3 linked regions of the Cricetulus griseus genome follow. The protein of the gene in region 3 binds, or shares a complex with, the protein of the main gene of each other region. Links are inferred from orthologs where the notes say so. Each region holds a gene or a part of one and is shown on either strand. Other genes may lie near its edges. The genes, in order: contactin-6, Cntn4 and Ptprg.

The links.
Region 1: the proteins of Ptprg (region 3) and contactin-6 are in contact, whole or in part, in a crystal structure (PDB 5E5U), measured with the Mus musculus proteins. The link is inferred for Cricetulus griseus from reciprocal best matches to the Homo sapiens genes PTPRG and CNTN6. Residues at the interface, in NP_033007.2 of Mus musculus: Val225, His226, His227, Lys229, Phe288, Thr290, Gln292, Gln293, Asp294, His295, Val296, Lys297, Ser298, Val299, Glu300, Tyr301; in NP_059079.2 of Mus musculus: Arg129, Val132, Arg135, Gln138, Gly139, Val140, Val141, Leu142, Leu143, Cys144, Gly145, Met222, Gly223, Tyr225, Glu226, Pro227, Lys228, Glu230, Leu252, Asn306.
Region 2: the proteins of Ptprg (region 3) and Cntn4 are in contact, whole or in part, in a crystal structure (PDB 3KLD), measured with the Mus musculus proteins. The link is inferred for Cricetulus griseus from reciprocal best matches to the Homo sapiens genes PTPRG and CNTN4. Residues at the interface, in NP_033007.2 of Mus musculus: Lys222, Val225, His226, His227, Lys229, Phe288, Thr290, Gln293, Asp294, His295, Val296, Lys297, Ser298, Val299, Glu300, Tyr301; in NP_001103219.1 of Mus musculus: Thr128, Arg129, Ser130, Val132, Ser133, Arg135, Gln138, Gly139, Met140, Val141, Leu142, Leu143, Cys144, Gly145, Val219, Met220, Gly221, Glu222, Tyr223, Glu224, Pro225, Lys226, Glu228, Leu250, Asn304.

The regions. Positions count from the first base shown.
Region 1 is NC_048601.1:39,518,418-39,529,779, forward strand, and holds part of contactin-6, read right to left. Parts: intron 6,025-11,362; 5' UTR 5,991-6,024; coding exon 5,849-5,990; intron 1-5,848. UniProt on the Homo sapiens protein: Contactins mediate cell surface interactions during nervous system development. Participates in oligodendrocytes generation by acting as a ligand of NOTCH1.
Region 2 is NC_048601.1:37,944,316-37,955,677, forward strand, and holds part of Cntn4 (contactin-4), read right to left. Parts: intron 5,264-11,362; coding exon 5,088-5,263; intron 1-5,087. UniProt on the Homo sapiens protein: Contactins mediate cell surface interactions during nervous system development. Has some neurite outgrowth-promoting activity. May be involved in synaptogenesis.
Region 3 is NW_023276807.1:170,271,887-170,282,382, reverse strand, and holds the end of Ptprg (receptor-type tyrosine-protein phosphatase gamma), read right to left. Parts: intron 6,167-10,496; coding exon 6,031-6,166; intron 5,550-6,030; coding exon 5,403-5,549; 3' UTR 4,707-5,402; downstream 1-4,706.

The sequences.
Region 1 (11,362 bases), on a different chromosome or scaffold from region 3:
AAAATATAGTTTAGAATAGCTTACATGTTCAGGATAAAGATAAATGACTTGGTGGGTATAAAACCTTTTGCATTCCTCTGGAAAAATGATGATAGCTGTAAATGTCTACATGTTTATGGTGCTTTAAAATGTAGTTATTATATGTTAACCCAGAATCATTCAAAATCAGTCCTGGGATATGATGGAAAATTCTATAATCTCACCACCTAAATTAAATGAACTACAGCATGGGACACCCATTAATAGGTATAGGTTTGGTATTAACAATTTTAATAAATAAAGCTAACATATCCAAGGAAACGGCCTGATGCACTTCAAATTATGAGAAACTTCAAAATTCTGGACATCAGTCAAATACTTGGTGCTAGAATGAATAATGAAATAAAATTCTGGTGTGTTAAAAACACAGGGTGAGGCTTCTGCCTGCCTTGCCATATTCATCTAACAACAATCTATCCATTGCCCTTGGCCTCTTCTCTGTGTGTATTAAATACCTAATCCTCTATCCATGTTATATGAAGTGAGCAATGTCATCACCCTCATTTTACACATGTATTAGCTTTGAGTACAATGTTATAGTGCAGATGATCTTCCAAAACAGGCAGTTTGCTTTGGTGTGACTGTCCACTACATTGTAATTTAACTTTCCCAAGTTTTGTCAGGATCTCACAGTCCCATTCAATTGTCCCACTGAACAAAGAGGAAATATGGACAGAAGTTTCATGGTCATTTAGTCCCAAATAAACACATAGAGGTTTGTATAAATTATAATCTGTTTGGCTGATGACTTAGGCTTTTTATTGTCTATCTCTCTCTAATTATTAACCCATTTTTATTAATTGAGTATCTCCATATGTTCTTGGCTAACCGGAGCATGCCAGGGCATCCCATCTTCCCTGTAGCTACATTGTGTCTCCCTCCCAGTCACCCCCCCTCTATCCACCTTGTTCCTCTTCCCAGAATTCTCCTAGTCTGGTTGCCCCACCTATATTTCTTGCTTGGCTACATCCTACCTGTCCATTGGCCCAAAACAGCTTTATTCATCAACCAATAACAGAAACATATATTCACAGCATACAGAAGGGCATCCCCTAGCAAGGAAAATTTTTTCTCAGCCTCAGTCAAGAACAACTCTCATTTCCCAACTCAGCATTTTGTTTCTTTCATTGTGTCAGCCACATCTGTCTCTCCTTGCCTCTTCCATAACATGTAGTCCTGATCACACCCTTTTCATGTAGAGCTTTAATATTATACTTGATCTAGCTTCTGTGTTAAGAACAGAAACTTGTATCTCAATGCTCAAATAAAGCCACTTCTTTGGATAACATTCTATGTTCTTTCTCTGAACTTAACTACTTCCTGTTCAGTGTACTGTTCAGCTAACTAAAGTCCACCTTTTATTTCACCTTATAAGTTTTTTTGAGGCAGTGCAGAGTACATGAAATATGGAATCTTGTATTCCACTATCTATATGTTTGAATATCATTCATGTTATTCATTTTTGTGTGGTTACAGGCAAAACAATTCTTTATCCCCTTTTGAAATGGAGATTTTGATTCTATCAGAGACTATACTATAATGAAAAAGATACTCAATTTACATAAAAAGTTTCAATAGTATTTACTATGCACAGGAAATTTGCTTTCTTTTTATATTGTTTTGTTTAGAACTGTACTTAAGAACTTGTTTGCACTCTCAAATTAGGAGGTACCTGCCAGCATTAACTCTAACATTAAATCTCTTTATGCTATCACTATGATTAACACATATAAGACCAAGTATTTGCAGGTGGTGGCCAGATGAATAAAACTAAAATCAATTAGAAGTCTGTCATGCTACCTTTACTTCTGCACTGACAGAAGAAGTGTAATAGAAATATCATCCATGATTAAATATGAAGTACAGCAGAATCCAAAAGTTTTATCCATGATTTAATGACAAGTGTCTGTGTATTCATTGTCAGAGTTCTATATAATACAATCTTTCAGAGCTTAGTGAAATTACAGGTTTCCTTCCAAACACCTACTTCAGTTTTTCAGGGACAGTATTTTAAATGGCAGACACACATTGAAATGCCCCACAGGAGTATAGGAGTACAAAGTAATTCCTTAACATACACAGGAAATCCACCAGTAACATTTACCACCAAAGTCCTTGAGAAATAAAAGAAAATTCCAAACAGCTACAAGTGAATTAAAGAGCCAAGCTGGATTTATCACTCAGAAATGCTGGTGTGAATGATAAGAGGTGATAAGAGACAAAACTTCCTTTTAAGAGTTAAGTTTGGGTCAGCTGGGGTAGAGGTGGGAGTAAATTATAATATGCCTGACAAAAGAAGGATGAGAATCCGATGTTAAAGAAAGGTGGCCAGGGACTTTTGTGATCCAATAATTCAAGACATGCCTTAAAAACAGAGAAGTGAATGAGCTGTTAAAATTAAAGATATATGCCCTATTTTATAGTATGAAATTTTTTACATATGGGCCACATTGTCAAGAAGGTTTCATGTTGAGATAAGTCATTAGGCAGAAAATTATTGGCCATATCTAAAACAAACTTAGTCTGCTCCATCAGACTGCTACAACCAAGATAAAAGTTATAAGCAAATGCTATCAGTTACCTAATATATAACTGCAAAACCTCACATAAACAATGTAGGGTGTTTAGAAGTCTAGTCACTCTGTCTGACAAATCAATGCTACAACAAACTTCCAGAAAACAATAAACAAGAGTTCAAACATTTGTATTTTGATGCATACCTTTTTTCTAACTTGGGAAATTTGGGTTAATTGTGGCATCTGAACAATTCTTTAACCTGTGAGAAAATCAATGTCAAAAAAAAATCTTACTGAGATGTTTTCTACCTTCCTTGGGGATGCTTCAAAGTGAAATCCAGGAGGCAGAGATTTACATGAATAAGATTAATTTCACCTCATGTATGAACTTCTAAAAATAAATAAAATGTGTAGAAAAATGAATTAAAAACACACATGGTGCCAGGTGTTGGTGGCACATGCCTTTAATCCCAGCCCTCGGGAGGCAGGGGCAGGCAGATCTCTGTGAGTTTGAGACCAGCCTGGTCTACAAGAGCTAGTTCCAGGACAGCCCCCAAAGCCACAGAGAAACCCTGTCTTGACAAACCAAAAAAAAAAAAAAAAAAAAACCCACACACACATGGTTGTAAGTGTCCTACTTAGTCGCTTGACTTGACTGTGCTGACAAAAATAATGTTGGAAATAATAATAAAGTTTTTTTAAAGTAATTCTGAATCAGGGAAAGTCAATTAAAATTTTAAGAAGAGATGGATTGGGGGGAAGCTCACAGAAGACAGAAATGGGGAAGGATAGAGTAAGGGTAGGTGTATCTTATATCTTCTAGGTTTCATCTCATTCTTGAGAGAAATCTGGAGAATTAAATACAGAAAGGGGCAAACTGCATAGCTGGGTTTGGATGTCTCCTTCATGAAGAGACACATGTAGTACATCAGGCACTACAATACCAACCCCAAAGCTCATTACACAGCTTACTGCCTTGAGGGATTCATTTAGAAAATTGTTGAGAAAATAAATTGCATTATTTGAAGCTGAAATAAAGAAAGTTGGCTCCCATGACTTGTGTGGACAGTGTTGTAAGGGGGTCTCTCCTATTCAATCTCAGGAGCATTCATTTTAAGTAAGTTCTGCTTTTCCTAAATAAATAAAATTAAATTAAAATATGTTTGATAACAATATACCCTGGGGAAAGTCACAATCTGTTTAATGTTTAAGCTTCTATTCTATAAAACAAGGACACCAGAAATATCTGACTTTATTATTATTCATCCATTCAACAGAGACATTATAAGTAAAGAATGTGGAAAGTATCACCCTATCTAAAAGAGAAACCACATACTCTTTTTGCCAGACTGAGAAATCAAGCTAGAATTGGGCAGGAAGTTCACTGTATGCTGTCCATCCGTCTAGTGCCTGATCATACTATCCTGTCTGCTGAGAGAAAATGCTCATTCACCGTGATAATCAGCTGTGGACCCTATATCCAAGCTATTGATTTGTAAGGCAACCTGTGCTCCCTGATCCAATAATGGTGGGCTTGCTATGGAAACTATCACTTACTATCTAATTGGAATGGAGACTTCCTACACAGGAAAGAATTTATAGTTGGTACTGTAAACCCAGTCAAAAGCCAGGATGAATGAGGAGGTCATAGGCCATGACGGGGAAACTCTTGATGTGGTTTTGTTAAATGAATAGGGAGCCTCTGTCAATGTTCCCTTCAATTAATTATATTTATATACCTAGTTATGTGCTCCTGACTGTTTTTTTTTTTTTTTTTTGGATAAAGGTTTTACAATGGGCAGTGGTAAGTGTAAAGACTTACATGTGGTAAAAGTGATGAGAATTAAGTGACTGTTGAATTCTCAGCCATACATGAGACACCTTGTATCACACCCTCTTCAAGGCTCGAAAAACATGATAGCAAAGGGATCAAATAGAATGTCAGAGCCAGAGGAAGGCATGGAGAATTATGCAAATATTGACTTCTTGCTGTGGAACTCTTGAACCATTGCTTCTGAATTCATGAACTTTGGTCAGCTATGATTTTCTATGCAAACCCTGAACAACATTGGACAGTTCACAGACCCAAAGTTCCCTGAAGGTTTATAGACAAATGGTAGTTGGTAAAGAACGAGTTATATATGCTTCAGTTGCATAGCTACTGATAAGCTGTCATGCTTGTATGACTAAGCCATCATTTATGCTTATGTAAGCAATACTAATGAAACTAATTATGTTATAAGCAGAGATATTAAAACATATGGAGAACTAGTTGGCACTGAAAGGGGAGCAAAAGTAGTATAGGAGACTAAAATAGAAGAATGAAGAAGTAAGTATGATCAAAATGCATGTATGTGTATATATGAATCCCAAGTTAAGAACCATTATTTAGTGTAATAGAGACATTCAAATAAAAACACTGAATAACCTTTGAAACATAAGAAGAACATAAGTGCAGATGACTAAAGTACTTTTTTCAGGGTAGGATGAGACACTATTTCTAAGCCAAATCTTTAAATTTGGTTTTTTGAAATTTATAGACATCACAGACATTTCCATTAGCCGCCGAACAGAAGCAACTAATATTCTGGTTCCCTGGGTTATCTAGTACAAGATGTGACACTAGGGGGAAAAGTAAGCCTTCTACTCTGTCCACATTGTGAGATATAATTACTCTCAAACAAGGCTTTCATTGAATCCAATATGAAGCATTTTAGTTCCTGGAAACACTATATATAAAGGATATAAGAAGCAGTGTCTATTGTTCATCTGCTAATGTCCCCAAATGTCACAAAGGTAATTACTTGGATGACATTTATGTGATACAGCTGGACATTGTTACAGTTAATATAAAGCCTGCCTGTGGCAACCACTTTATTTCCACCTACATCTCACTGTGGGTGTATGATTGCTGTTCCTAGAGAATCAACCGCCTGCCCCACATGACACCACTGCCTTGGGTTGCTTTCCTGTGCTATTCACACTAATACCTTATACAAAAGAAAAAATGAAGGGGCAACACTTGATATATGGGCTTAGTATTAATATATGGCAATTTTAGAGATGTTTCTAAGAATACTACACAATACACAATTTAAAAAATATTTTCTACCTAAAACATAACAGATTTCCATTATCCTCAGGAACCTAGATTTATAAAATAAAAAATTTTATACACATAAAATTCTATTTGATTTTAAAGAGCAGGATACTGGAAAGGCTACCTTTTTGGCCCAACATCACCAGACTATTTTCCAGAATATATTAAATATGGAATTTTCACGAAAACTTACATGCAAACTGTAGCTTTGCTTTTCTACTCAGAATGGTACCCACAGTGTTGGTGACCAGACACTGGTATGTGCCAATATCTTGATCTGTGCGGGGGCTGCTGATGGCCAAATTGCCTCCATCCAACCTATAGTGATAAGTCATGCTGAAGTCAATATCTGTGCCATTTTGTTTCCACCTTCAAGGATAAAAATGAAATAAAATTACTTATGTAATATAGAGAACTGAATACTATTTATCATAAAAATTATACTGTCTGTATTCCTGTAATCATAAAAAAAACAAACCAAACATATGATCACTTGTTGGGTGATATCTGTAGTTTTATTAAGGGCAAGAGTGTTGTTTTTGTTAGTAGTCCTGGAGTTTGAAATAGGACCAACCTCACACACTCTCACCTCTGTGCTATACCACTGGGCTACATATACTGAGTCATTTTATTTATTTTTTTAATCTTCAGACATGTTCTTACCAAGATGCCCATGCTGACTACAAACACACTGTGAAGCCCTGACTGGCTTGGAACTTGCAATCCTCTTGTATTATTCTTCCACAAGCTGAGATTATAAGGCTATGTTACCAAGCCTGGCAAATACAACTGTTCTGGGGGCAGTGATACAATCTGATAGGTTGTTTGGAAGCTCATTACCCTTCATAAGTTACAAATACTAACTCACATGAAACAAGAAATGTATGAGAACTCTTAACATGGCAAATAGAATTAGACAGCAGTCAATAATTCTGACATCTATTTCTTTAGAGACTTTTCAAATAATGTATACCGTATCTGAATCCCCATATTTGACACTGCAAAACTGAATGTCAGAAATGATTTAGAGATATAAACCCAAGAAGGCTACATTATATCCAGCACAAAGAATGCCAGCTATGGTCTGACAATACCAATTCAAGGCTGATAAAAAAAACAATAATAATGTGACAGCTTAAAAATGTGATTGTTTTTGTGAGTCTGCCACTTGGAAATTAATCATGTTGAAAATATTTCAATGGCACTTAGGAAAGCCAACCTAAAATTATATGCTAGCAAAACAAATACAGCTTGAGAACATTTTTTTAAAGAAGTCAAAATCTCTCAGATTAGCTAACTAACAATCCTTCAGTACTAGAATTATCTACATATTCCAGGGCATTAGCACTATTTGGAAGGAAGCAGAAATACCTGTAGAAGACTCCATTTGGTCAGTTCAAGATCAGTAAAATATAAACTTAGCCCATCTTACTGGATTCACTGCTTATCTGGAAACCTCCCAACTTCATATTTTAAATTATAAACATTGCACATTAATGAGATATATCTCAAAGTTACAAGTTGTATGTAGTCATATAAATTATTTATGGAAATTGGAATTTAAAAGTAATTAATCATAACTTGCACTTGTAGAGATGAAAAAAAGATAAAAGAGCCAAACTTCTCTTCATTTATTGTCAGGGTTGTTGTTGAGGGTCTATAACTGTGCATTAGCACACACACAGACATTCCATATAGCTTTCCATGACATTGGGGTTTTCAGAAACAAAATTCCCATTTACAGACCGATGTATATATATAGTGCTGGCTTTATTTAAGGATGTCCAGTTGTCAGGATAATAATAACAAGTAAGGTTGATGTTCAGAGTTAGTGAAAATTCAACATGGACTGAGGATTATGTATCATCAGGAAAAAGTAAGTTCTTTTGCTTAGGGTCCCCAGGAACTAACTTCTGAAATGAAAACTCTATTCTTAGTTTAAAAATAGAAGGGCAAGGGGGAGATGGGAAAGACCTTCTGCTTCTGCTATTGTTTCCAGGCTTTAGGGCAGTTGTTCTCAACCATCCTGATTCTGGTATCCTAAATATATTTCCTCATGTTATGGTGCTCACCATCCATAAAATTATTTTTGTTGTCATTTTCTAACTCATATTTTCAACTGTTAAGAATCATAAGGTAAATATCTGTTTTTTTTTTTTTTCAGATACCCTGCTATGAAAGGCTCCTTTGACTTCCAAAAGGGGTCATGACCCACAGGTTGAGAACAACTGCTTTAGGGTAATTTGACCTGAGCCTACCACCAAATGGCCTCCTCCTACATAACATACCCAGTTTTCAAACCATACGTTTAGGGCATGTGTCAGCCTTGTTATGATTCTTCCATTCATTGTGAAATTGTGTTTAAAATATTTTGTTAAGGTGGGTAGTTGTGAGAAAAGAATGACATTCTACAAAGTTCTTTTGAATACCATTGATTTGGGGGACAGCATTGTGACAGATTCATTGGTGAAAAATCTGGCTAATATCTACTAAAACAGAAAGAAATACATAATTTTGCACTCCTCCATACTATTATCAAAGATACAAAGTGATGGCTCAAATATCAAATCAACAAGAGGATTTGAACCAACTTCAAAATGATTTGCCCCCCTCCTACATATATTAACCTCTTTTTAATAAAACAAAGATGAACAGCAGCCATCAAAGAGTCCATCTATACAGACTGGGTTTCCCACCAATTTTTTCAATAGTAATTTGTACACACTGCTTCTTGTTTGTGCTCTTATAACAAAAAAGCAGGACATTTTCCTTCCCACAGACCCGTCTCAAGATACCAATATTCCCCTTGCTCTCACTGCAAACTGTCTTTCATAATTCGTTTGCAGGGCATGGTCTCAGACCTCTGTGTTCGCTATCATTTTCAAAGAGAAGGGTATACCATACTTAGTTTGCCAGCTCTCTTTAATTTTGGAATCAATCACTGAAATAACTGCTGTCATCATTACATGCTCCTAATTAAGCTCAGTAATTGTTTTTCAACACAAATTCAAAGTTGTTGGCTTTGCTGCTGCAAATGAATTTTTCACAGTAGCCCCGTAATCATTCTAATCACTATGGTACAATGATTATTAAACTGTGCATATAGATCAGGAGTTCAGCTCTGGGTGTGGGCTTTGTCCTAATTAATATGCTTAAATAAATGGAGAAATAGTTTTACTTCATTACAGTAGCTGTCAGACATGCTTTACTGATGGCATTATATATCCAAGCAAATTTTCCTATGATACAAACTAGAAGATGTGTGTTGAGGGAATACTTTAGCATATGAACTAACATATTAGTTTTAGAATATGTGATGAATTTGAACTGAAAAATTCTTTTACTGAGGAATATCTCTCATAATTAGGTGGTTGAGACCTGACTGGACAATATGACTGGGAGCTCTATTTGCGGTCCTTGGTAATATGCACATCCATGTATGTCTTTGTGTGGTATTTCTCACAAGTCGGTTCTCTGTCTTAAGTCCTTCTTACAGGCACCTACATCTGAGTCCAGCCCCAGACCACTGGAGGAAAACATGAAAATCTCCATTCTAAGTTTGTCTGCTGCAGATATTACAGAATGAATTGAACCTGTTCCTTCCAGGAAAAGAGCCCTCTTGTCTGCTATCCCATTACTGTCCTGTGCATCCTTGTGTATTTCTATTATAAAACTTTCACAGTGTATACCAGGCTTGATTGCAGGAAGTCTTTAACAGGAACTGGAGAAACTTATGAGAAGAGAATAACATCACCTGAGAATTTACTGACTATCCTGAAACCCTGTTTGAAGATCAGGTTGTCCTGGAACTCACAGAGATCTGCCTGCCTCTGCCTCCCAAATGCTGTGATTAGAGGCATGCTCCACGGAAGCCCAACTCAAGATTACCATTTTTTTGACTCCCTCATTTTCTAGGAGAGGCTAGCATTTAATGAGTTGCTCAATTCTCTCCTGGTTATGAGTAATTATCAATAGATACCAGAATTCAGCACTGGTAATTTTTTTTTTCTGAGACAGGATTTCTCTGTGTAGCTTTGGAGCCTATCCTGCCACTCGCTCTGGAGACCAGGCTGGCCTTGAACTCACAGTGATCTGTCTGCCTCTGCCTCCCGAGTGCTGGAAATTACCTGGCTGTGGTACACTGATGATACTACTAGCATATGTCAAGAATATTTTACTTTCCATTTTATGTTTTATTCACTAACTAATTAAGTATCTGTGTATTTATTTTGAGACAGAGCCTCACTCTGTAGACTGGCCAGGCCTCAAACTCAGTAATACACCTGTCTGGCCTTGGGAAAAAAAGAATATTTGGGATTAAGTTCTCTGCTATTTTATTTTCCTCAGTATTCTAGTGATTGGCAATTGTCTCTCACCATTGGTTTTGTGTAGCCCAGTCCCTTTGTTTATCCTTTTGACTGGTTCCCTTTCTCAGCTCTATTACCTTGTGGTTTGAAACTATACAGGAAATCCATCCTGGCTTTTGACTTTAATTGTGCTCCTGTTTATAAAGGCATTTATTTCACTGAAAATGACTTTACTCAAGTTATTCCTTAACTATTTCCAAAGACCTACTTTTAAAGATAGCTCTTTCCTCCCATGAGATTCAATTTACTATACATAATTTACAGAACAACAATAATATAAACAACTTTTTCCCCACAAAATTATCAGTGTAACAGTGCATTTGGGTCAAAAAGGAAAAAGTTAGAAAAAATGGTGCTATGATCCTGACTAGAATAACAAAACAAAAATCTTATAGCAACTGATTAAAAAAAAAATACTGTGTAGGGAAGGCCACTGTCACACCAAAGAGGAGGTAGTATTTACTCAAAGGAGAAATGATCCTCCTGCAGTTATTTGTCAGAAAGAGATTCCACAAGAAAAGATAATTCTTAATTTTAATATAAGGCTCTCTTGAACTGTTTCTCATTTTGCCTACATAACCTGGATAACCTTGGACTGTTTAATAATAAAGACCTTTTCTCCAGTGTACACTCTACCAAATAATCTAACTTTAATATCATTATTACTAAATTGTAAAAAGAAAAAAACACAAATGTAAGCAGAAATGGCAATGTGTTTACATTGTACAGCTAGAATACAGTGCATGAAATACCACTGCCCTTTGTTATATTATCAAAGAATTTGGGTCTGAGTCTGGCATTTAGGCATTATAAATTTAATTCTTTTCCCATTCCAAACTCTCTTGCTTTTGAGTTTATTATGTAAATACAGGGATGTTTTGAATCGCTTTTTAAAGATTAGAAATAAGAAGCTCAATTGTTTGTTTTTGTTTTCTAGTTTACAAATACCTAGGGAACATAACCCATTTAGCACTTTTAGAACTCCTAAACATATTCATTATTTATATCATAGATGCTCTAAAAACCTGTCCTTACAATCGGTTGCTCATACTTTTATACTTAATGCAAAAAATAAATTTTAAAAATATACTTTACTGATTTAAGATATATTTAACAAACTTAAAAACTTGTAGGCATTCAGATACTATGCCGTGAAACTTTACCTACATTTTATATCACCTGAATTAGCTTTTAAATACTCAAGCCATAATTTCAAATATGGTAATCCTAAACATTTTATTAATTATATTTTATATAGTCCATTTTAAATTAAGTTAATTTAAGGTTAAATTAAGTAATACCTCCTTTCTACAAATTTTATTTTAAGTGTAAGGGTGGTT
Region 2 (11,362 bases), on a different chromosome or scaffold from region 3:
TGCAGAAGTTTGATTGTTACATCAAAACTAAGGGATGCATTTCTTTGAACTAAGCTAGGCTGAAGGAGAAAAAAGCTAGCTCAGAACTAAGATCTAAGGGCTGGACTTCCTTGGCTCTGGAAACTATTAACTATGTAATAAAAATGAATAGTTCATTCATTCCAATCTTCACTTTCACTTTTATAAGGATAAAAACTAGGAAATATATAAAGTCCCTTGGCCATAAAATCCACTTGATTCAGGATGAGGGCACAGGCTCACTCATGGTACAGGACAAAAAGTGTAGTCAAAAAGTAACATTAGTCTTCAAGGATTACACAAGGCTCTAGGAAAAACTAACTTAAAGATATTTAAAGAACATAATGCTTTACTTAAATTTTATTTATTAAATACAGAATGACCTTTCACTTCAACCAATTGAAAACGATTGTTGAATACCAGTGTGAATGAGAATTCCTCAAAAGAGGTTGTATATACCAAGAATGATTAGCTATAGTGATGTGAAAATGTTGAAATGTTGTAGGTCCAGAACCTAATTATCTTATTGGTACTAGCGTTAGTCCCCAGAATAGCCAATCCCTTCCCACATATGTATAGGAACTAACATCCTATAACTAATAAATAAAAACCTTGTGTAATATATTAACGTTAACAGACCACTAGCTGCCACCAATCCCAAAGCTAAGAATGTCATCACATAGCACATTAGGCTTATAAGAGAGATTTCTCAATTTTTTGTTATACCCTTTCTGATGTTTTCATTAATGAAAATTGCCTTGATTTCTAACTTTGTTCATTGCATTACTATTAAAACTCCATGAAACTGCTCCCTTGTTGGAACACAGAACATAGGATGACATACAAAGAGCTATGATTTTCTGTCCATGGTCAATCAGGTTTGGCTCCAGAATAAACTTTATTCCCTTGGAGATAAGAGCTTTGTTTTTTGTGTTGACATCAGGAACATCTTTCAAGTTTTTTTTAATCTTCTTTATTAAAAAGCTAGGAAAACATCTCCTTGAAGTTGTAGCTTGATAATGAGGAATTTCAGCATTAAAACATGGTCAGAATGTAAAAGATGTGGTTGTGAAAATTTATCTTTTCTAATTTAGTTTTAGAAACATACTCATTACTAAGGGGGGCGTTAAAGAAATGTGTGCTTTCAAACAAATAACCTACTAGAGACTCTACAAATGCAGGACAGAGGCAGTGATCTTAGGTCTTTCAGAATGGAGATGATATGAGAAGAATAAAAAACAAACAGGAAAATATACAGTCATTCCAAGTTTTATCGAATCCTATAAAAGGAACAGAAATGATGGGATGTTGAAGTAGAGGACTGGAGGAAGGCAGACAGAAGAAAATAAGAGATGCTATGTAAGAAAAGGAGTTGTGGAAAATATCTATTAGGCTGCGTCGTTTCTGATACTCTGTTGCCATGAAGTGACAGCATGACCAAAGCAACTAGTAACTGTTGGATTGCTTACAGTTTCAGAGGGTTAATCCATTCCATTATGGTGGGAAACATGACAGCAGGCAGGCAGGCATGGCACTGGAGTAGAGCAGTAACAAAGGCTGGGCAGTCTGTTCCACAAACAGGAAGCAGAGGGACTGGGACTGGCATGAGATTTGGAAACCTCAAAGCTCAGCACCCCCCAAGACACACCTCCTCCAACAAGGTTACACCTCCTAATTCTTCCTCAACAGTCCACAAGCTAAGAACCAAACATTCAAGCACCCTAACCTATGAAGGCCATTCGTATTCAAACCACCACAGACACAGAAGTTGAGAGTGGAAGAGTTTAAGAAGTCAGCTAATTGAAGGAGTGGAAGAAGTGGGTACTGGGTATCAGGCAAAGCTAATGAAAGTATCAAGACTCTGGTATCAAAAGAGTAGTTTCATTTTTTTTTTTGAGAAATTAAAATAAGATGTGCTGATTTTTTAAAGTGCAGCAGAAGGCATAAAGCAAGGAAGTGGAATGATCTATTTTACATTTTCAATGATTATTCACTCTTTTATGATAAACGGCTGAAGCAAGGCTCCAAGTTGTAGAGAAACCAGAGAGGAGTGAATACTGAAGAGACAGTAAGTACATCTTCATTTTATAAGAAAATTCCCATTGCTTAAGGATAAATAGAATTTGGGGTTCAATATAGAATAATTGGCTAAATTTGCAGCTGGCCTAACAAGAAGAATGTGCAGAGAACACTAACCTAATGGTTTGACCTGACCTCATCTTAGTGAAGTTCTCCATGACACACACGTGATACCATGGTCAACACATACCAGTTATACTGGTGGAGACATAGCCATGACATTTTCTGATGATCCTGAGTTAGGAGGACAATCAATATTTAAGATAATTAAAAATGTATCTAACTTTATGTGGAATCATAACCAGGACCTCACACATGCTGGCAAGCACTCTGCCAACTGGGCTGCACCCTGACCATATTTTTTGTTCTTATGAGACAAAATTTTACTCCATGTCTTATAATCGCCAAGAACTCACTATGTAGCAAAAGGTGGCCCTGAAGTCATGGCCTTGTTCTCCTGCCTTGGCTTCCTAAGTACTGAGAGTTCACGTATCAATCACCATACTAACTTAAGGAAAGCTACCTAAACACTTCTAACACACATAGGGGTTTTGAGCCAGTGGTCTGAGCTCATCTCTAACATTCAGTCCTAGTAGATTGGGAGAGAGAGATTAACATGTCCAGCAGCATTTTCCATACCAGGAAACACATAGGTTTGGATTGGGTGAAAGCTACTCCCACCTGCAAGGAAGGAATTTATAATGTCCCAGAGATACCATTATTTTGGAAGGAGAGGTAAAAAGAAATATATTCAAAACAATTTCAAATGAGATAGAACAAAGGATTACTTCTGAGAAAGGGACATATAATCGAGGAAAATACTATATTCTGAATTTAGTTTAATAACATGAAATATTAGATAAGCTGTAAACTAACAATAAAGTTATACTAGGAGACTAGCACTTTTTGAAAATGAACAGTATGACCACTATATTTGCTGTAGTGGAAGTTCATAGCATGGCTACATTGGCTTCTAGTGTCCTTTGCAAAGGTCACAGCACATGTAAAGACTTGTAGACCTATCTATAGGGCCATAACTTCATAAATGAATTTACACAAGAGTCTGTTGTCCAGAAGATAATTGCCCATTAAATACTCAAAGGAAAGATAAATTATGGGATAAGATATGGTTTCCAGACTAACTAGTTTCATGCAGTAAGAACTGGAAAGGGGCTGGAGAGATGACTCAGCAGTTAAGAACACTGCCTGCTCTTCCAGAAGACCCAGGGACCATTCCCAGAACCTACATGACAGTTTATACATTATATCAGTTCCAACAGATCCAATACTGTCTTCTGGCTTCTGAGGGAATTGTATGCATACAGTATACTGATACACATTCAGACAAAACATCCATAGGCATGAAATGAAATGAATGATTGTCAACAACGATTCTGATGGGTACGTATGTCACTATTGATATAGAATGAGCAAGGTGGGTTTCACATACATTAATGTGAAAATGCTTCAAAAAGTGAAACAAGGAGCTTCTTGGGGAGAACTATTCTATTCTATTCTAGTTAAATAACTATCTTTGAATATAAAATCCTGTCTTCTTAATGTGTTATATAATAAAAAGGCCTGTACTTTTATAAAAGCATACTCTTGAGGGCTGGTAGAAAAGTATTTTTTAAATATTTATTAGAAAGTCAATTTGCTGGTAATAGTATCCTTCTCCCTTTTTGTTGTTAAACGCTTGCTACAAAACCCCCCAAAAAATCAGGGTCACAGAGTTGCAATTTATTGAACCATGAAATTTCCCCCTATGTTGAACACCTACCATTGTATCATTATTTTGTTGGATAAACCTAATGAGACTCATCTGTAATTACTAAAATGTGAGTATAGATACCAGCTTGATTAAACCAGAGGAATATGCAGTTTGGTTCTGTGGCCCTTAATCAGATGTATTACCCTCCTATTATTCTGCTTACCTAAGAAAATTGAAGACTATCTCAGGAGACATATACAAACATGGAGCTCCAGAATTCTATATCTATAAAATTTCTAGAAAATTCATTTCTCAATGAGTAAAAAATGCCACCAAACAGCAATAAAAGATTAAGTGCTGAATATAATAATAGGTATATTTGATATTCTGTTCCCAGAGAGGGTTTTGTTAATGAGAATATTCTACAGTGATACAACCAACAGACTTAGTAATTATGAAAACTTTGATATTAACATACTGCTATACAAGTTGAGATTTTATACAAGGGAATATATAATAATATGCAAATACATACACCTTTAAGATTGTAGCTGAACAGCAATTCTCAAGGTGTCTATAATAGAATGTGTGCTTACAGCTTCTGCCCCTGGATTGTGATTTTCGACTCTTTATTTCTAAAACCTACTTCCCTTCACACATGCAAAGATTTTCTTTAAGTAGCAGTCTTAAGATATGGCAACTTGTTTCTCAGTGTTCTGGTTTGGTATATAAACATATAAGGTGAATAATACTGTACCCCTACTTTTCATTATTGGACTTTAAAACATTTTTTTTACTGTATGGAAGAAAGCCCAGAGAATTGTAGGCTTTACTGGTGAATTGACAACCAACCAAGCTATGCCTCTACTACGAATGGTTAAAATACTTCTTTATGGACTACGAGGTTGCTGATAGTTCAATTACCTATTCACATATGCTCTGTTCAATGTTTGTAGGTGTTGTATGCATGCATTTATTATGTGTAACCTGTAACATGTGTAAACTTATGTCTGTTTAAAGCATCATATAACCAAATGGTCATATAACTGAATGATTACATAGCCACACTATCTCAAGACTTATAAAACATACAGCTTCCCTCTCATGTTTATAGTTCATTAGTCATGTAAAATATTTTCAAAATATGAATAAAAGGTAAAATGTTCATTGCCACACTCAAATACATGAGGTCTTTCAGGAGGTACTGTTTGTAAAGTGTATTCACACAATGTACAAAATCTCAAAGATACATTTGGGGTGCAATATAATTGCTACTTACAAGCAAACTGAAGCTTTGCTTCTCTGCTTACAATTGTTCCAAACGAGTTTGTTGCTATGCACTGGTACGTTCCAGCATCTTGGGTTTTATTGGGGTTATTGATCAACAAGCTGCCTTCAACAACACTGTAGCGGAAATCCATACCAATGTCAACATCTGTTCCATTTAACTTCCACCTATAGTATAAAAATGCCAGTAGATAAAGCCTTGTAATATAAATCAATATTTTTGAATTGTCTAAAATAGATAAAAACTATGAAGACCATAAAATATCATCTGTGAACGTTTTGAAGCATGGTAAATACAAATATTAAAAACTAGCCAGCAATGGTGACATCTTAAGTACTTAGGGAGAAAGAGAGCCGTCCTTTGTGCTAAATCAAACTTTAGCACATGTCCCATGACTACATAGGATACTCTAAATAATTATTTCTTACAGGGGATAAAATTTTCCACATGGTTTACTACATCTTTCTTCAAAAAAGGACTCCTCAATAAAACGTCCTTTTTCTGTTTGGCATCCTAGTTTAAATAGGTATGTCAAGAGGACAGAACATTCCACTTTCAGGGAGACAGCAAAAGAGCTGTTGAAATTTCTGCTGAGTTCTTAACATGCCTGAAGTGCTGCAATGCAAAGGAACTCTGTTGATCTGAGATGCTTTAGGGACCAAATCTGCCTGACCATGGATCAACTGGATGATCTCTTTAGTCACTGCCAGTCAACTGCCCCAGTAAACTACAGACTATTAAATAACCAAAGCAAAGAATGTTTTCTTGTCCTTCTGTTCATTTACTGGGGTCACCTGTGCATCTGACTGTAGCAGCAAGCCCAGTAAATTAGTTTTCTGGGGACTTATATTTCAGCAGGTAAGCTTTGGTATGAATATCTACAATTTTGTTCTCGGAGTCACTAACATCCAAAGAATGAGAGCTTATCTGAGTCAAATTATCTTTCAGGATTCATGGGAATTCATATAAACTTTTGAACTAATATAATTCAATGACTGTTTTCTGATAGCTTGTGAATTACCAAGACTCTCACAGGAGCTGAAAACATACAGAAGATTATAGCACAAAGGAAATTGATTCAAATCAAAAAAGGGAGTAGAAATTGAGAATTATTCATCTTACTTTCTTAAAATAACAAGAGCCATTACCTAAATAGAAATGCGCATGTGTATGCCCACCCATTGGGCAATCCTTTATAATATCCCAGGCATTGTAGTTATGAATGTATAATGTGCTAGAATTTAAATGATAAAATTGTTAGTCTGTTAGCTTCAAATTACACACACATAGGTGGGTCGTGTGCATGCCTGCATGTGTGTGTGTTTGTGTGTGTGTGTGTGTGTGTGTCTTTTAGAGACATGGTCTCATGCCACTCAGGCTGGCCTCAAACTCCCTTGGAATTGAAATAACCCCAAACTCCTGATTCTTCTTCCTTCATCTCCCAAGTGTTGGGACTACAGACTTGAGTCAGTACATGGAACACCAAAGTCAATCTCAGAGGACATGTATGCTGGTGGTGCTCTTTGTTTTAAATTCAGCAGCGGGGAGGTAGAGGCAGGCAGACCCATGTGAATTACAAACCAGCCTGGTCTACATAGCGAGCTTCAGGCCCATGGTTAAATATAGAGACCATCTTAAAAAAAAAAAAAAAAAAAAAGAGCAGAAGGGGGAGGCACACATCTTCCAATGAAATTCCTGCCCATATTTCCAGTCAAGATGTACCATGTTTCATTAGATGTCCGGTGGAAGTTCTCTTATTCCTTCATGCAAAGACTGCTTTTGCCACAAGACAATTTACCTCAACCACTTCCGCATTCTTGCTCTCATCCATCTAGAACTTAACTGTCTAACTGTGCGCAATAAACACTTGTTGAATTGAATGGATTCAGAATTGTGTCTTTCTGGTATATATTTGAGCTGTGAGCATATACACAATTCATGAACCATGCTTGCCTCACCCAGCACCGTCATATGAGTTTACTCCCATCTGTGTCTTTGCAGTGTAAAAATCTAGAAACAGGAGGGCCAGGGAAGTAGACTAGAAGCACAAATAGGACTTAGCTTTTTATGTTTTTGTTTATAAGAAGCTGGATATTAGAAACTGACAGTGTTTTAGGGGCTCTGCAGTAATTCTCTCTGTGCTCTGACACAGACAAGAAAGTAATAAGCAATAAAGAGAACAGCCACGTTACAGCCCAGCGGTGCTAGCTGCACATGAATCTCTAGAACTGACTGCCTGCCCTACACATTTACTGTTAGTCAGCTGATCACGTCTTGGCCATAACTCTCACTTCAAATGATAGCAGAGCAATTTAATATGACAAATCTAAGAACTCAAAGAGGAAATTGCAATATAGTGTGAGCTGCAAGCAGAGTGTGGAATTTGGGAATGGGACCATGTGAGTCTTTTTAGAAGACTGGCTATGGGAATAATGACACCTCTGTAGGTTCGTCGGCACTCGTCACCTCAACCAAAAATGCCGTGCACAAAGTCCGTTCATCTACTTTATGGCCTGCCTTTACATACGAACAGCAACAGGGATGGGATTATTTAGAAAATAAAGTGCTTTATGAGACATGCGATAAAGCAGACATGGTGTTTTACTGCAATGCAGTCAGTGTTCATTCCTATTGACTATGGATTGCATTGAGAATTTCTCATCTCGTAGCATAGTGAAAAGCTCTTGAAAATCTCGCAATTTAGTTTCAGTGTTTGAGGAATCTTTTAAGTATTGGTAATGGAGAGGCAAGGCTCATTTGGAGTAAATAGATTTTCCCAGGGGGCAAGGCAAATTGGTGTCTTGTAAGCTGACTTCTCAATTACTTGGGGGAAGCACAGCTGAATTCTCTTCAGAGAGCAGGGCTGTACACAGGCAAATACGGCCACCTTGAACCTCCCCAAGGCATGTTTCCACAGAGTCTGTACAGATTCAGTGCAGAGAAACCTTCACTGTTAACTGTTTGAACTTGACACTCAGGGAGGGGCAGGTCCTTTCTGACTTGGAATTGGCTCTCTTCAGACTCAGTTGAATACAAACTTCACAGCAAACCAACTCTAACAGGGTGCTTGAAAGCCTCTTCCTTCTAGGAAGGGGTGCTGGGTGAAATAAGTAATGTCACCTGTCCTTAGGGAACTTGAATACAAGAGAAGTTGGCATGAGGCAAAACTTCTTAAATTTTCTGGGTCGGGGTCAATCCTTTCAGAACTGATGGGCAGAAACAATGAAAAGAAAAGGCTCAGTTGAGGGAATAAACGTAAAGAAAAGAGGTCAGTTAGGATGTCTTAGGAAAAACCTGCCGCTGAAGATCCCCGTGGAGCACTCACTTTGGAAATTTTCCTACTTGTTCAACCCCCTGAAAGTCAACACCAAGACTAAGAAAGTTCAGCTAGCAAGGTGTTCGAAAACACCTGATCTCTCTATTCATTCTCTTGCTCTTTCATTCAGCAACAGGGAGTTTTTAAGCTCCTGGGTCCAGACTGCTATTATGTCACAAGAAAACTGCCAGGGGGATTAAGGCAAGCACCAGTGCACTGCCTGGAATGGCTAATGCATTTGATTAAAAGCTCTCCTCAGCTTTCCCTGCAATCTTTAAAAACATAATAGGTTTCTGTTCTATGGCTTGTTTTAAATAACAAGGCAAGCCCCTATATCTAGAAACACAATGTTACAAAGGCAATGTTAATTAAAGGTCACAGTTTGGGGGAAAACAATGCAGCAGCTTGCCAAAAACTGCTGCAGAATTTGTTTTCATTTATAGCTAACATCTGAACTTACCCTTGGCTGTGTGTTCAAAGAGGGATCCATTAACTCGTCATTTATGTATCTGAGCAACTTTGTGCCTTGCATTTGTTTTTACTTTGCAGTGTGTTTTCAAATCATTAACTTAGCCTTGAATTTACTGTATTATACCCAGAAAGATGACGCCTTCTGGCTCGGTCAGGACAGGTTAGGGTTTATAGGTGATGCTCTAGAGTAATTCTTGATACTGTTCTTTCTCTTTCAACATGTCCTGTGTCAGAGGATACCTGGCATGCTCACTTTAATTAGTTGTTGTCTTCTTTCTGGAATGTTCATCCTTTCTTTATCCATGTGGCAAAGCAGTTGGCCTTTCTCAAGGACCTGCAACATCCCCTTTTTTTTGAAGTCTTCACTACATCTACCCACTACTTCTAGTTTTTTTTTTTTTTGTTGTTGTTTTTTTTTAATTCCCTCGAAAGCTGGCAGCTTCATGGGTGCCCCAGCCATGCCATGTCAGGATGCTCGCCCTTTCCATCACTCATTTCCATTCCCCAACTCTAATGTTTTCTCTGTACCCTGTTCCCCAGTATTCCCTGAGCCTGGAAGGTTAGTATAAATGTATTTTATTTACTCTTGCAGTAACTTTATTAGCATTACATTTGAGTATAGTTAAAATAAGTTACATAAAATGTATTTTGAAAGGGATCATGAGATAATGAAGACCTGTGTTTGATAAAGTGAATAGTATTTACTACTGAGGATTCCTGTGATCGCTATGGTTGGAAGCATAACCTTTATCCATGTACAATCTTTAGTTTCATTCTCATCATGTTTTAAGTGATTATTTGTCATGGGTAATTATGAATGTATCACCCCACCTAATGCTAATCTGGCCTATGTGGGCTAAAAGCTTATGAAAATTAACAGAACTAAGAGGTCCCTCTGACCTTCATTCAATTTCTAAGAAGCAGGTGATGAGATTGCCCTGTGGCAAACACCTTTCCGAAGCCAGAGTGGAATGATGAACACAAGCATCCATTGCCCTTTGCCTTTGCTGTGATTTAACTAGTTGCTTCAAGCTCCTGGTACTGTGATTTCCCATTGTGGTGGACCATACCCTTGAACTGGCAACCAAAATAAACCCTTTCTCCCCTGTGTTGCTTCGGTCAGGGTGTTTTACCATAGCAACTAGAAAAATAGCTAATCAAATATTGCTTTCTATTTGGTTACTTGTTTCTTACATTTTGATTTTGGGCAATTCTTGACCTATTCTTAATATCAATTTTTTTTTTTTTTTTTGGTTTTTCGAAACAGGGTTTCTCTGTGTAGCTTTGGAGCCTATCCTGGCACTCACTCTGGAGACCAGGCTGGCCTTGAACTCACAGAGATCCGTCTGCCTCTGCCTCCCGAGTGCTAGGATTAAAGGCGTGCACCACTAACACCTGGCCCTTAATATCAATTCTTTACCAAGGAAAATTTTTACTAAACGCATCATCCTCGGACTTTAGCCTATGGTTTTGCTCAGCTCAGTATCTTCCATCAAACACAATATTTACTATTAAAGAAGTTAAACTTTTTAAAAAATGATTTGTATTTCTCCCTTCATACTGAAAAGTCTTTCCTCCATCAAGGTCATAAATATCCATGCCTGTTTTCTTTCTTCTTTTAAAATGTCCCATTTAGGGCTTTTATTAACCTGAAGTTGATTTTTGTGTGTAACATGAAACAGTGATTCAGTTTTCTTTCTTTCTTTAACCACATGTGCAATCCACTGTCCAGGGCAAGAGTTTTCAAAGTACTTCCATTACTGTCATGAATTTTAACTTTTCTTCTTTTGATTTTCACAAGAAAGTATTCTCTTTATTATCAGGGTTACTGCAATCAATTTTATGTGGAATTACCCTCACATTGCTTTGTTTAATTCTGTCTTCTTGTAGTTCAAGTCTTCTCTCTGGGTTAATTTTTATCCCATCTCAAAGATGTCTTTTAGAATTTTCTTAAGTGAGAGTGAGTAGCCATCAAAATAAAATGTTTGTCTGCCTACAGAAATGCATATTCTCTTCTCCTTTATAGGAATTTCTAATTAACACATAAAATTTACACATATTTATAGGGAATAATTTGAAAATTTGTCATATGTGCAAGATACAATATCGAATTAGTGTACTCTGCCGTTCATGTTTAGAATGTTAAAATGAGTATTTTATTTATTTATTTATTCTTATTAAAACTATTTTTAATTTAAAAATTGTCATTACACTAATTTAAATATTTTTGAGACAGGTCCTCATGTACCCCAAGCTGACCACAAACTGCTTAGATATTTGGAGGCAATCTTGAACTTTTTTTTTATTTTTCCTCTGTAGTGGCTTGCAAATTGTGGCCTTACAGTTGTGCACCACCCTGTCTCTGCTTCTGGGTGTCAAATTCAGGGCTTCATACACACTGGATAACCACTCCAGCAAATGAACTACATCCCAGATAAGAAGAAAGGAAGGGAAGAAATTGTTTTATTATTATTGCTTA
Region 3 (10,496 bases):
TGACCTTGAATTTTGGATCCTCCTATCTCTTCCTCCCAAGAGCTAAGATTATCACCCATGACACCCAACTTGAACCTATGCCCTTAGTTCCATCTCTGTGACTTGTTCCTAAATCATTGAAATTTCACATTTAGTGTGTAAAAAGGTAGAGTTTTACTATAGCATCCCCTCCCCAATTCTTAGTAACAGAAATGAAGCTTCCTAGTCTAGAGATATACTCTGTACAATCAAAGCCATGGAGTTGGACAATCGATAGAACTATTTCTGAAGTCACAATGTCTTACTTAATGGTATCATTTTGGGTTGACTCCAAGGGAGTCAAGAGTGTGGGAACCCACTGGGCTCTGACTGGCAGGGTGTGAATGATGGGAGGTCAATACGCATGCTTCTGCTGTTGCTCTTGATTGCTGGTTTACCAACCTGAGGTGAAAATGGCCCTGGGATTCTGACTGTATAGTTTAGAGGCAGCTGCTCACCAGACCTAAAAAGGTTAGTTACATGACCAATGGGGACCAGACATATGGCTGTGGCAGACAGTGAGCCTGCTGCCATACCACCACCCAGTTTTGAAAGGGAGCTTGAAATCTGAATGTAAAAAGTATGTATTTTTAAATGTTGGTAACTATTAGGAATTACAAAAAAAATTAGGTCAAATAAAATGTTCCTGTTGTCTGACCAGGATCTATATAGCTAATTGATTTGTGATACACCGGTACAGTGTACTAGAGTCACCAGGGGTATAACTTTAGGAAGAGACGCATTCTTAAGGACAGGCTTGTGTGTGTGTGTGTGTGTGTGTGTGTGTGTGTGTGTGTGTGTGTGTGTGCACGCGCTCGTTGGGGGATGGAGACAGAATGGTAAACTAAGAAGCCATGTCCTGACATAGAAGAACTTGTACTGATCCTATGTCTACTCCATGTTTCTACAAAGGTCTTGCTGTGACCCACCCTTTATACTAGTCAGTAAACATTAAGATAGGAAATTGTCCCCAGTGTGGTTGAGATGCCAGAGGGACAATCACAAAGCAGAGGCTGTTTGACACTGGTGAGACTTGGTCTTGTTTTCTTGGGGTGAAAGGAAGAAGAATATCAGGAATCAGTTTGGCAAGAGCATGTCGCTTTGCTTGTAAAGGTGACTGCTAACATTCATTTACTACAGTGAACACTGTGATGGAGGGCTACTGAGTGTTAGTGTGACTTACTTACAAAGGAAAGCCGGATCTAATTCTCATAGAAATGCTCAATACTACCAAGTACATCAAAAACCATACTTTATTTTATGTATAGCAATACAATTTACATATTAAATAACACTATAATAGAATGATTTGATATAGTTTAAAACAGAAGGAAAAAGGGAAAATTTCAGGTTATAAAACCCCCGTCCCCACGGAACAAATCTTTAAAAAAAAAATCCACTTTTTCCAAAATGAGTCAATGTGACAAATGTATTCAGTGACTAGTCATGTCTAATTGCTTTTGCACTAATGGTCAATGGAATTAAAAAGAAAACCCGACTTTCACAATCACTGCCTCAAAGGAAGAACACAGGTTGGATTCAATTGGAATGCAAAGATGGTTCTTGCTACTTCAGTACACGTAAGTTCACATATCCACCACAAAAACAAAACAAAACCGAAAACTATGACGTAGTTGAAACTAGAAAAAAATTAGCTTTATATGAAAATATAAAATTCTATGATTATATACCATAGATACAAAGTTCGAAGAAGATGCTTACTCAAGCAACAAAATATTTACAATTTTAATGATTTTAGCTATTTGAAAATGAAGCGAAACAAACACGAGTCGACATGAAAGTGGGGCTCTGTAGAAACAATGGCTGCTTGCTAGTTTCAAATGTCCTAACAAAAAAGGAGTCACTACCCCAAATGTTGGAGAGTTACGACATTTTATAAAATTGACTGTCTCCTTTTCTGGAGATGTTTATTTCTTAAAACTCAAGATATTTTTCTTGAAATTAATTATCCTCTGTAGAAAATGCTTCCCTTTGCAAATATTTAACAAAAATACTAAAAACATTTTAACAGCTAAGACAAAAGTAGAGGCCAAATGTCATTATAATTTCGTCTATTTACCATGCCTTCTTTCTAGAGATAAATAAAGCCAATATTGTGTGTTAATAAAGCCAATATTGTGTGTTAAGTGGTAACTAAGGGAAAGTGCAAAGGGTTATGTGAAATTACAGCTGCTATGAAAAAAAAAAGCAGGCATTCTTCCCTTCATATAAAAATTGACTGGCACCATTTGAACAGAAATTTTAGGACATAGGATTTGAAAAATGCATTTTCCAATGTAACTGCAAAAGCCTTAAGACAACTACATTTTGATTATTTTTTTCTTAAATTACGATGTGTTTGGGTTTCTATTTTTTTGCTTAGAATTAGTAATGTGTATCTTTGGTAAATTGGTATCTACTTTTTACTTTTAAATATAGTATATATGCAATTAAGAAAAGTCATGAGAAGGCAGTTGTGCTGTGTCATTATACGACAATTAAGGTTATTTACTGATTTCATTGTCACTCTGGGGTAAAAACTACCCACCAGACCTTGGACACCATAATCCTTATTTCATCTTGAACACTATAACTTCATTTTGACCCTGCTGGACTCTTCTATTCAAAACGGGCTCTCAAATAGTTTCAAAACTCAGAAGGTAACTTTTAAAAAAGGAACATTAAAGATGGTATTATAGTTTGGGGTACAAGAAACTGTTCTGATGTCTCTAATACATCTTTGATGTCCAGCGTGTCCACCTGATCTAATTTTTACAAGTCAGCTTTGTTTGGTTTGTGCCCTAGAGGCAAATCACACATGCAAACAGCTTATTTTAGGAACTTGCACATTAGCTTTAGCAATAGCTGTATCCCTTCCCCTTGACTGTAAGTGGTTATACCCTTAGTATGTACCTAAGCAATGCGCTTATGTCTCAAAGAAAACATCTTTGGAACTCTCTGCCTCTGGAAAGATGCAAAATATTTTTGCCAACAGCAAAGAACAGTGAAGACACATATTGTGGTGAAAGTGAGGACTGAGGATGGCTGAAAGTAACTCTCCTCAGTGAAGGATGTGTGGACCATTTTGGCAAAATGGTCACCTAGCAACTGCTCATAGTCCAGTAAGATGGATGTGTAGGCTTCCCACAGAGAGCTTTCAACCCACCTTGGTTTTATTTCTGTCCTACTTATTTCACCCCCCTTTCCTCCTTATTCTCTCACTTGTGTAAGAGATAGTCCCAGAATTGTGGGGAGCATGTAATTCCATAAATTGAATTTCCTGTGTGAATAGCACAGAAAGTAATACTTGCTATTTGTCTTCTAAACAGTTACTTTTATTAAGAGAAAATTGGGAGACCATGAACTCCAACTTGAATGTTAATCCCAAATGGCAGAGCCACTGAGCATCTAACTGAAGAGCATCAGATCTGTGTACAGCAAAAAGAATCTGCTTAACTGGCTAGGGATCTCTAATTCTTACTGTGATCTGAATCTTTTTCCTTCAGTATTCCGTTCAGCCCTGAGAGTTGTATCCATGGTTAGTCCTTCTTTGAATTGTGCAGGGTGACACCTCTGATGGGGCTCTGTGTGTGTGTGTGTGTGTGTGTGTGTGTGTGTGTGTGTGTGTGTGTGTGTGTGTGTGTGTGTGTGGTAAATGTGCCTAGGGTGCTATCTAGCACAGACACCTTACAGACTCTGCTTAGCAGGTCACCATTCCTGAAAGACAGACTCTCAGTTCTCTGTGTGTTCAAAAGCTTAGGTTAGTCTGCACAAATTATCTTCATAGGCCTGGCTCATGCACTGAAACTCTTAACTTGGCCTGGGACCCTCTCCTTAACAGCTCTGGTTCCCCAGCACTTCTGTGACTAGTTTCAGACAAACAACTCAAGAAGAACAAAGCCACATTCCCACTGCAATGCTGCCTCAACAGTGACAGCAGCCACATGGCCTCATCGTAAAGCTTACTGGAATAATAAGGAAGCCAAACCCCATTGTTCATGGGGGTTCAATCTTGGGGGATGATTTCAAGTCTGACAGAAGTTGACCTTCAAAAGGAGACATGAAAAGGAAGATACAGATTTTGGTGAATAGTTTAATGGGTATTGTTTTGTTTTAAACCAACTCAAATGAAACTTCTTAGTAATGCTTCCAGTTTTCCCATTATGTACTACATGGGTCACAAGCAGCTCCACCTGGACCTAGGGCTTACTACCGAACACTGTCAGCTCTTACTGCTGTGCATCTATCTGCTCGTGAATATCCACAACTCTCCTCAAAACCTGCTCTAAAATGGAGACGTCGTTACCTTTCATTCAAAAACTGAACTTTCTCTTTAAGACTCAAATTTATCTCTCCAAATAAGACTGATTCATCTGTAGGAATTTGGTCTCAAATATATTTCAAATTCAATCTTAAGTAGAGTATTATGTAATTAAGAGATTTATTATGAAACATTTGGCAAAAAAAAAAATAAAGGAAGAAAGTTTAAATACCTATTATTTTCCGTTGCTGTAGCTACTGTGAGGTATGGTACTAGATACCAAAAAGTTTTAGTGGGGTTAACTAAAGGGGTCATAAGTAAACTGCATGAAATAGTGCCACCTTTCCTTTATAAAAGCCAGCCCCTATTTTAGGGTGTAGCTACTTCAGAGAGTCAAAATGGAAATAACACACACTGTCCACATAACTACTGTGAAATCTGTAATACAGAATGATTCTTTATTTTGACACATTTCAACTGTGAATATAACTCGGTAACTAATAAGAGATGTTCACATGAAGCAACTCTTAAGCCCTCTTAACTTCTTAGTGGATCCCTCAACCATGACAAATGGAATGGACATTATCAGACTTCTTATGGGCTCCCATTAACCTCCTGCCCTGTAAAAGGAAACAATGCCCATCCACTCCATGGTAACAGAAGGCATATAGTATTGAACAGTGCCTAGAAAAAAAAATAGAGGGGAACTGAGAAAAGTACAGTGTTGCCTGCTAGGAAAATGCAATTGCTTTAGAATAATAACAAAACTGAGATTCACTGTCATAACAAAGACCTTCACTGCACAGAACTAAATAGTAGCATGTATGTTGTCATGGAATGTCACATCAGGGTTTGCTGTAGATTAGATTATAGGCAGTAACACTGATCATATAGTGCAAACTAGGTAAAGTTGCGTTTCACTGTGTGAAATGAACAGGTGCAAATGCTCAGTAGGATACCATTAAGACATAAAATGGCAAAAAATAAATATCAAAACTTTTATCAGTGTAAAAAAGTAACTGGGTTATTGTATAACCTAGAGTCTGGCAAAAAAGGCCTCAAAAAAGTTCTGTCTTTACAAGTGTCAGAAGTTTACAAATTAAGTGCCCGTCCAGGGGTCCGGTCACACCAGAGACTCCATGCTCTCAGCGGGGTCTGACTCTTCTGCAGTTAGCACAGCACCATTTTTGTCCCCCATCATGGGGCCATTTCCATTTTCTTTAGTGCTGACCAAGCTGAGCATTGCTTTGTAGACAAACTGGTACTGTTCCTGGAAGACAGGTGTGAATAACTGGTTAGACATTTTATCAAAGATGCAAATACTGTTCAAAAACATACTTCTAAAAACCATGCCCAGAGAGACAAGAATAGCAACAATTTTTATTCAACTTTAAAAGCAACCACTTGAATCACTGAGCTCTATGCCTTCTTCATATCCTCTGGTCTTAGCACAGAACCTGTTTCAGTGATGGTGGCTCATAAGACACTCTACTCATGAGTAGAATTTTTTTTAAACTACATTACTGATATTTTGGGGTAGATATTTCCGTGTTGGCAAGGGTTATCTTGTGCATGGTGAGCTTGGCCTTTACACACTAAATGCCACAGAACCTCTGTCCAGTGGTGAAAAACAGTAAGTCTCCAGATATTGCCAGCTGTCTCGTGGTCAACACCCATAGTGGAGAACCCCTGGTCTGTAGTACAGATCTGAGGATCATCTGACAGGTTTGACACACATGCAAACTACTTACAATGTCTGTAAATACTCCAGGCCTCATAAGATTGATCATTTTTGCCACCTGGAAGACATCCACAGCATTTTCATTCTCTAGCTGCTGGGACAAGGTGGTAAGGGCACATAGCATTCCTGCAGAAACTGCTCCATACCTGGGGAGGAGAAAAGAAAGATGTGATTTCAGATGTATGAATGGACTACATGTAGCGGGAGGTTAAGTACCACCACATATTTTCTTAAGAATTAAGTTGGCTGGGTTGGTGGCTATTCCAGAAGACAGAATGAATTAAATTTTAGACAGGGGGAGGGATCTACAAATTTACATAGAGGTGACATTTTTGCCCAAAGCCATTTTCGAAAAATGGCTCAGCTTGATGTCTAAAATGAAACAAAAGGTTCAAAAGTAGACTTGGGTGGGGGCTGGAGAGATTGCTCAGAGGTTAAGAGCACGGACTGCTCTTCCAGAGGTCCTGAGTTCAATTCCCAGCAACCACATGGTGGCTCACAACCATCCGTTATGAGATCTGGTGCCCTCTTCTAGTGTGCAGATGTACATGGAAGCAGAATGTTGTATAAATAATAAATAAAATCTTTAAAAAAAAGTAGACTTGTAAACACTACAGAATTGATTTTGGATAAGAGATATTACAACAGGTGAGATAAATAGAAAGTGCTGCAGGGCCCTCACTTTCAATAATCTTAAGCATATCTAATGTCCATTTGGTTGTGACTGTAGCCTTTAATAGCTGAACCATCTCTCCAACACTTAATCAGATAAATTGAACTTAAAAAAACCCTTCCACTGCATAATGGTGTTTTGGATAACCAAAGACTACATTTATGATGGGCCTATAAGGTTACAGTAAAGCTGAAGTTCTTATAAACATTGTTTATGATCATTTTTGTTTGCCTGGAATACAGTTCAGCTCAGATGTAAATTAAGGTCATCTTTTATTTGGGGCAGGAGGAATTCTGCTTTGAGAATTCTGCCTGTAAAGATTTTCTTTTGTATCTTCTAATTTTATTTTTCATGTTTCAAGTATAGGTAGGTTATAAATGCCTACTGCTGCCATATCCTTAAACCCGTGTACTGCAAATTTTCATTTCATATTTATTTCAAAATACCTGTAACCTTCTGTTCCACTCTACCATTTTATGGTGATTTTGGAACCAGACTATCAAGGAACAAAAAGTGTTAGGGTTTTTGCTACATTCCATGAATATATAGATAAGTTTGAGGAAAGCCATGCCTTTTCAATCTTTAGTTTTTCTCTTCAAAAATAGCATGCCTTTTCTACATTTACGCAGGTCAATTGGGCTTTGGAGTTTCTTTCTAGATCTTTGCACATCATGTTTTAGGTTAATTCCAGGGTCCATGGAGTCCCTGCTACTCCTCAGAATGGCCTCATGTGGCACCTTCACACTTGATGTATAGAGACATTAATTATGCTGACAAAGTGAGCATGCAGACAGTTACACAGCAGAACTCTTGAGTAATTTGTAGGCTCTCTAGGTGGTGGACTTAGCCTCTTGATGTTTATTCTGGTCTTTGGTATTTACTGCCTTGGTTAAACCCTGAAATGTTTAGTGTGCCAGCAATGGAAGCAGGCATGCTTTTTATGGTCTTTAATGGTTAAGCTACTCAAGTTTTAAATAAAAAAATAAAAGCATGTGTGACAGGCTTCTCATAAATGATAACTGGTTAAGGATGATGGCTTATTTTCTTTGTTCTGTTTGCTGAAGATATTGGTGGGGTTAAGAAGGGGTGTTATTTTATTCCATTATTTATTATAGATGTTTTCTACCTATTTTTATCTGTTGATTTTTAAAAAAAAAATCTTTGAAAATGTCTTGAGTTCATCAACACATTTTGATACTATTTAATTAGTGTTATATTGCCAGAATAAAGCTTATTTTCTTACAATATGTAACTCCTTTTATATTGGATTTTGTTGGATGGTATTTTACTCATGATTGTCAAATGTATAGGACTAGCCTGTGTATTGCAACTCTGGTGCTAGCATTTTCCTTTGAATGCAGTTTGTGCTCTTCTCACTGTGTTGTTACTATCTCGAGGTAGCCTCAGTGAGAGTTTGGGGACCCAGGCCTGGGGAGGGCTCTCTCTCTCACACTCACTTCTTGGTAATCACTACTGTGTGGTCTATGTTCTCTCTAGATAATTACATACACAGAGTGATTCTTCCCTATGAGACAATTCTGCGGTCATTGTCCCTTAATGTTGAAGAGGCATTTCAGGTGAAGTCACTGGCCAACGAGTCTTACAGCGAGACTATGGCTACATTTCAGCTTCCAGATCTAAGTGGCTTAGAAAAGAGATGGGCACATATCATGTAAACATCATCTACTACCTTTGCTTAAAGTTTATTAACATAATGTTGCAAGTAAACAGTCTCACTTACTTTATTTTCTTTTAAATGTATTTCTAGGTTTTTTTGTTAATCAGTGAATGTGTTCAACATACACAGAAGTATAATCTCAAAAGGACCAGTGTGTAGCTGTCATTCAGCTACACAAATCACCAGCTTGTGGACAGTCTTCTACCTGTTTCTTCCTGAAGTAAATTGAGATGTTTTATTGATAATTAGCTTTTATAAGTAATTTGTAAATGCTAAGAACCTAAAAGAACAAGCATAAACAAACAGTTCTCAGATGTCTTTAAGTGGAAGTTTTTTCTTCTTAACTTATGCCTTCTATAATTGTCTTCTTTGTGACAGTATCCAGGGTTCACTCCCAGCCTCCTCCTTCCCCTCTAAAGACAACTTGTCATTGTGGTGTCCAGGCTGGCTGTGAACTGCTGCTTCTCCTACCTTTGTCTCCTCCGAGCTGGGAATGTAGCAGCATGTCATCTCCCTGGATATCACCACTGCATCTTTCATTAGGCCAGGTCTATTTATTGCTTACACTTTCTGTCTTTGCTCCCGCTTCATTCCCTTCGTTTTCTTCCATTAATTACCTGTATTTCAGTGGTTTTATCTGTTTATTCCCCCCAGCTTTCAAAACTGAAGGCCAAGGTTGTTTCCAAACTTCAATAAATGCAGATTGGGCTATGACTTTTTAAGGGAGGTACAGTGTGGTTCTTTCTGAAAGTTAATGCTTTGATCATTTGGTATTATTTTGCAGTTTCAATCTTGTTTATCTCTTTAAGCCATAAATTATTTAAAAGTAGTTTCACATGTAAGAACTTCAGTTTCCATTAATAGGATTTAGAATCTTATTTAACTGTGGATTTCTAGTATTAATGTGTTGTGATGAACGAGTGTGGTTTTGTATCTAGTTTGTAGTGATTTATTGAGATTCTATTTTTGGTCACTTTTTATAGGTAAGCCACTTGAGTTTCCACAGGCTGTCTCTCACATAGTACCCCTTGAGTACACATGTGTCTCTGTCAACATTAGGTAAAGCTGTGCTATTCAGAGTCTCTCTAAATGCTACTGTTCAAACAGCTCAGTTTGGAACTTGATTCATTATCTCTAAAACATTAGCTGGTGTTCCTGCTAGGGTTTTATCTCCCTCTGCATCAACTCCTAGACATGTTAGAGATTCCACGCCTAGTTTCTGCTAGTTCTATATCAGCCTCAACCATAGCATCACTCTTCCTTCCTTTCCTTTCTTTCTTTCTTTCTTTCTTTCTTTCTTTCTTTCTTTCTTTCTTTCTTTCTTTCTTTCTTTCTTTTTTTTGGTTTATCGAGGCAGGGTTTGTCTGTGGCTTTGGAGGCTGTCCTGGAACTTGCTCTTGTAGACCAGGCTGGTCTCAAACTCACAGAGATCCACCTGCCTCTGTCTCCAGAGTCCTGGGATTAAAGGTGTGTGCCACCTCTGCCTGACCCCTCTTTCATTTTTAATAGCAGTATTTTTCATTTTTAGGTGTTAATTTTGTTAACTGGCTCATAGTATGTCTGTAATTGTTTCATAAAACTCTTCATTAGTTCTCTAAATATATACTTTTAATATCCACTATGATGACTCTATTTTGGTTTACTTTTTGTGTTTGTTTTGGTCCTTTCTCATTGTGCTGTCTTTTGTTGTATTCTAAGTTACACTAAGTTGACCTTATTTTATTAAAAAAAAAATTTGTACTGACTTGGTTTTAAGAAGGAAACAATTTAACCTTTACTTAACTGGTTCTAATAAAATGATTAAACTCAGGATTCCCCTCTTTATTTTCTTAGCTCTTCTTAAAGATTAGCTCAAGCCAGTCAGACAGAACAGTGAGATGACCATGTTCTGCTTGTCCAGTGTGCTTTCATGTGGGAGGATGTTAGCCTTTCTGTGGGATGGCTGCATTTCCTACCACTGACCAGTCTTTGTGAGGATTTTTTTTGGGGGGGGGGGTTTGAGGCAGGGCTTCTCAGTGTAACAGTCCTTGCTGTCCTGGAATTCGCTTTGTAGACCAGGCTAGCTTAGAACTCACAGATTCACCTGCCTCTGCCTCCCAAGTTCTGGGATTAAAGGCAGGTATTA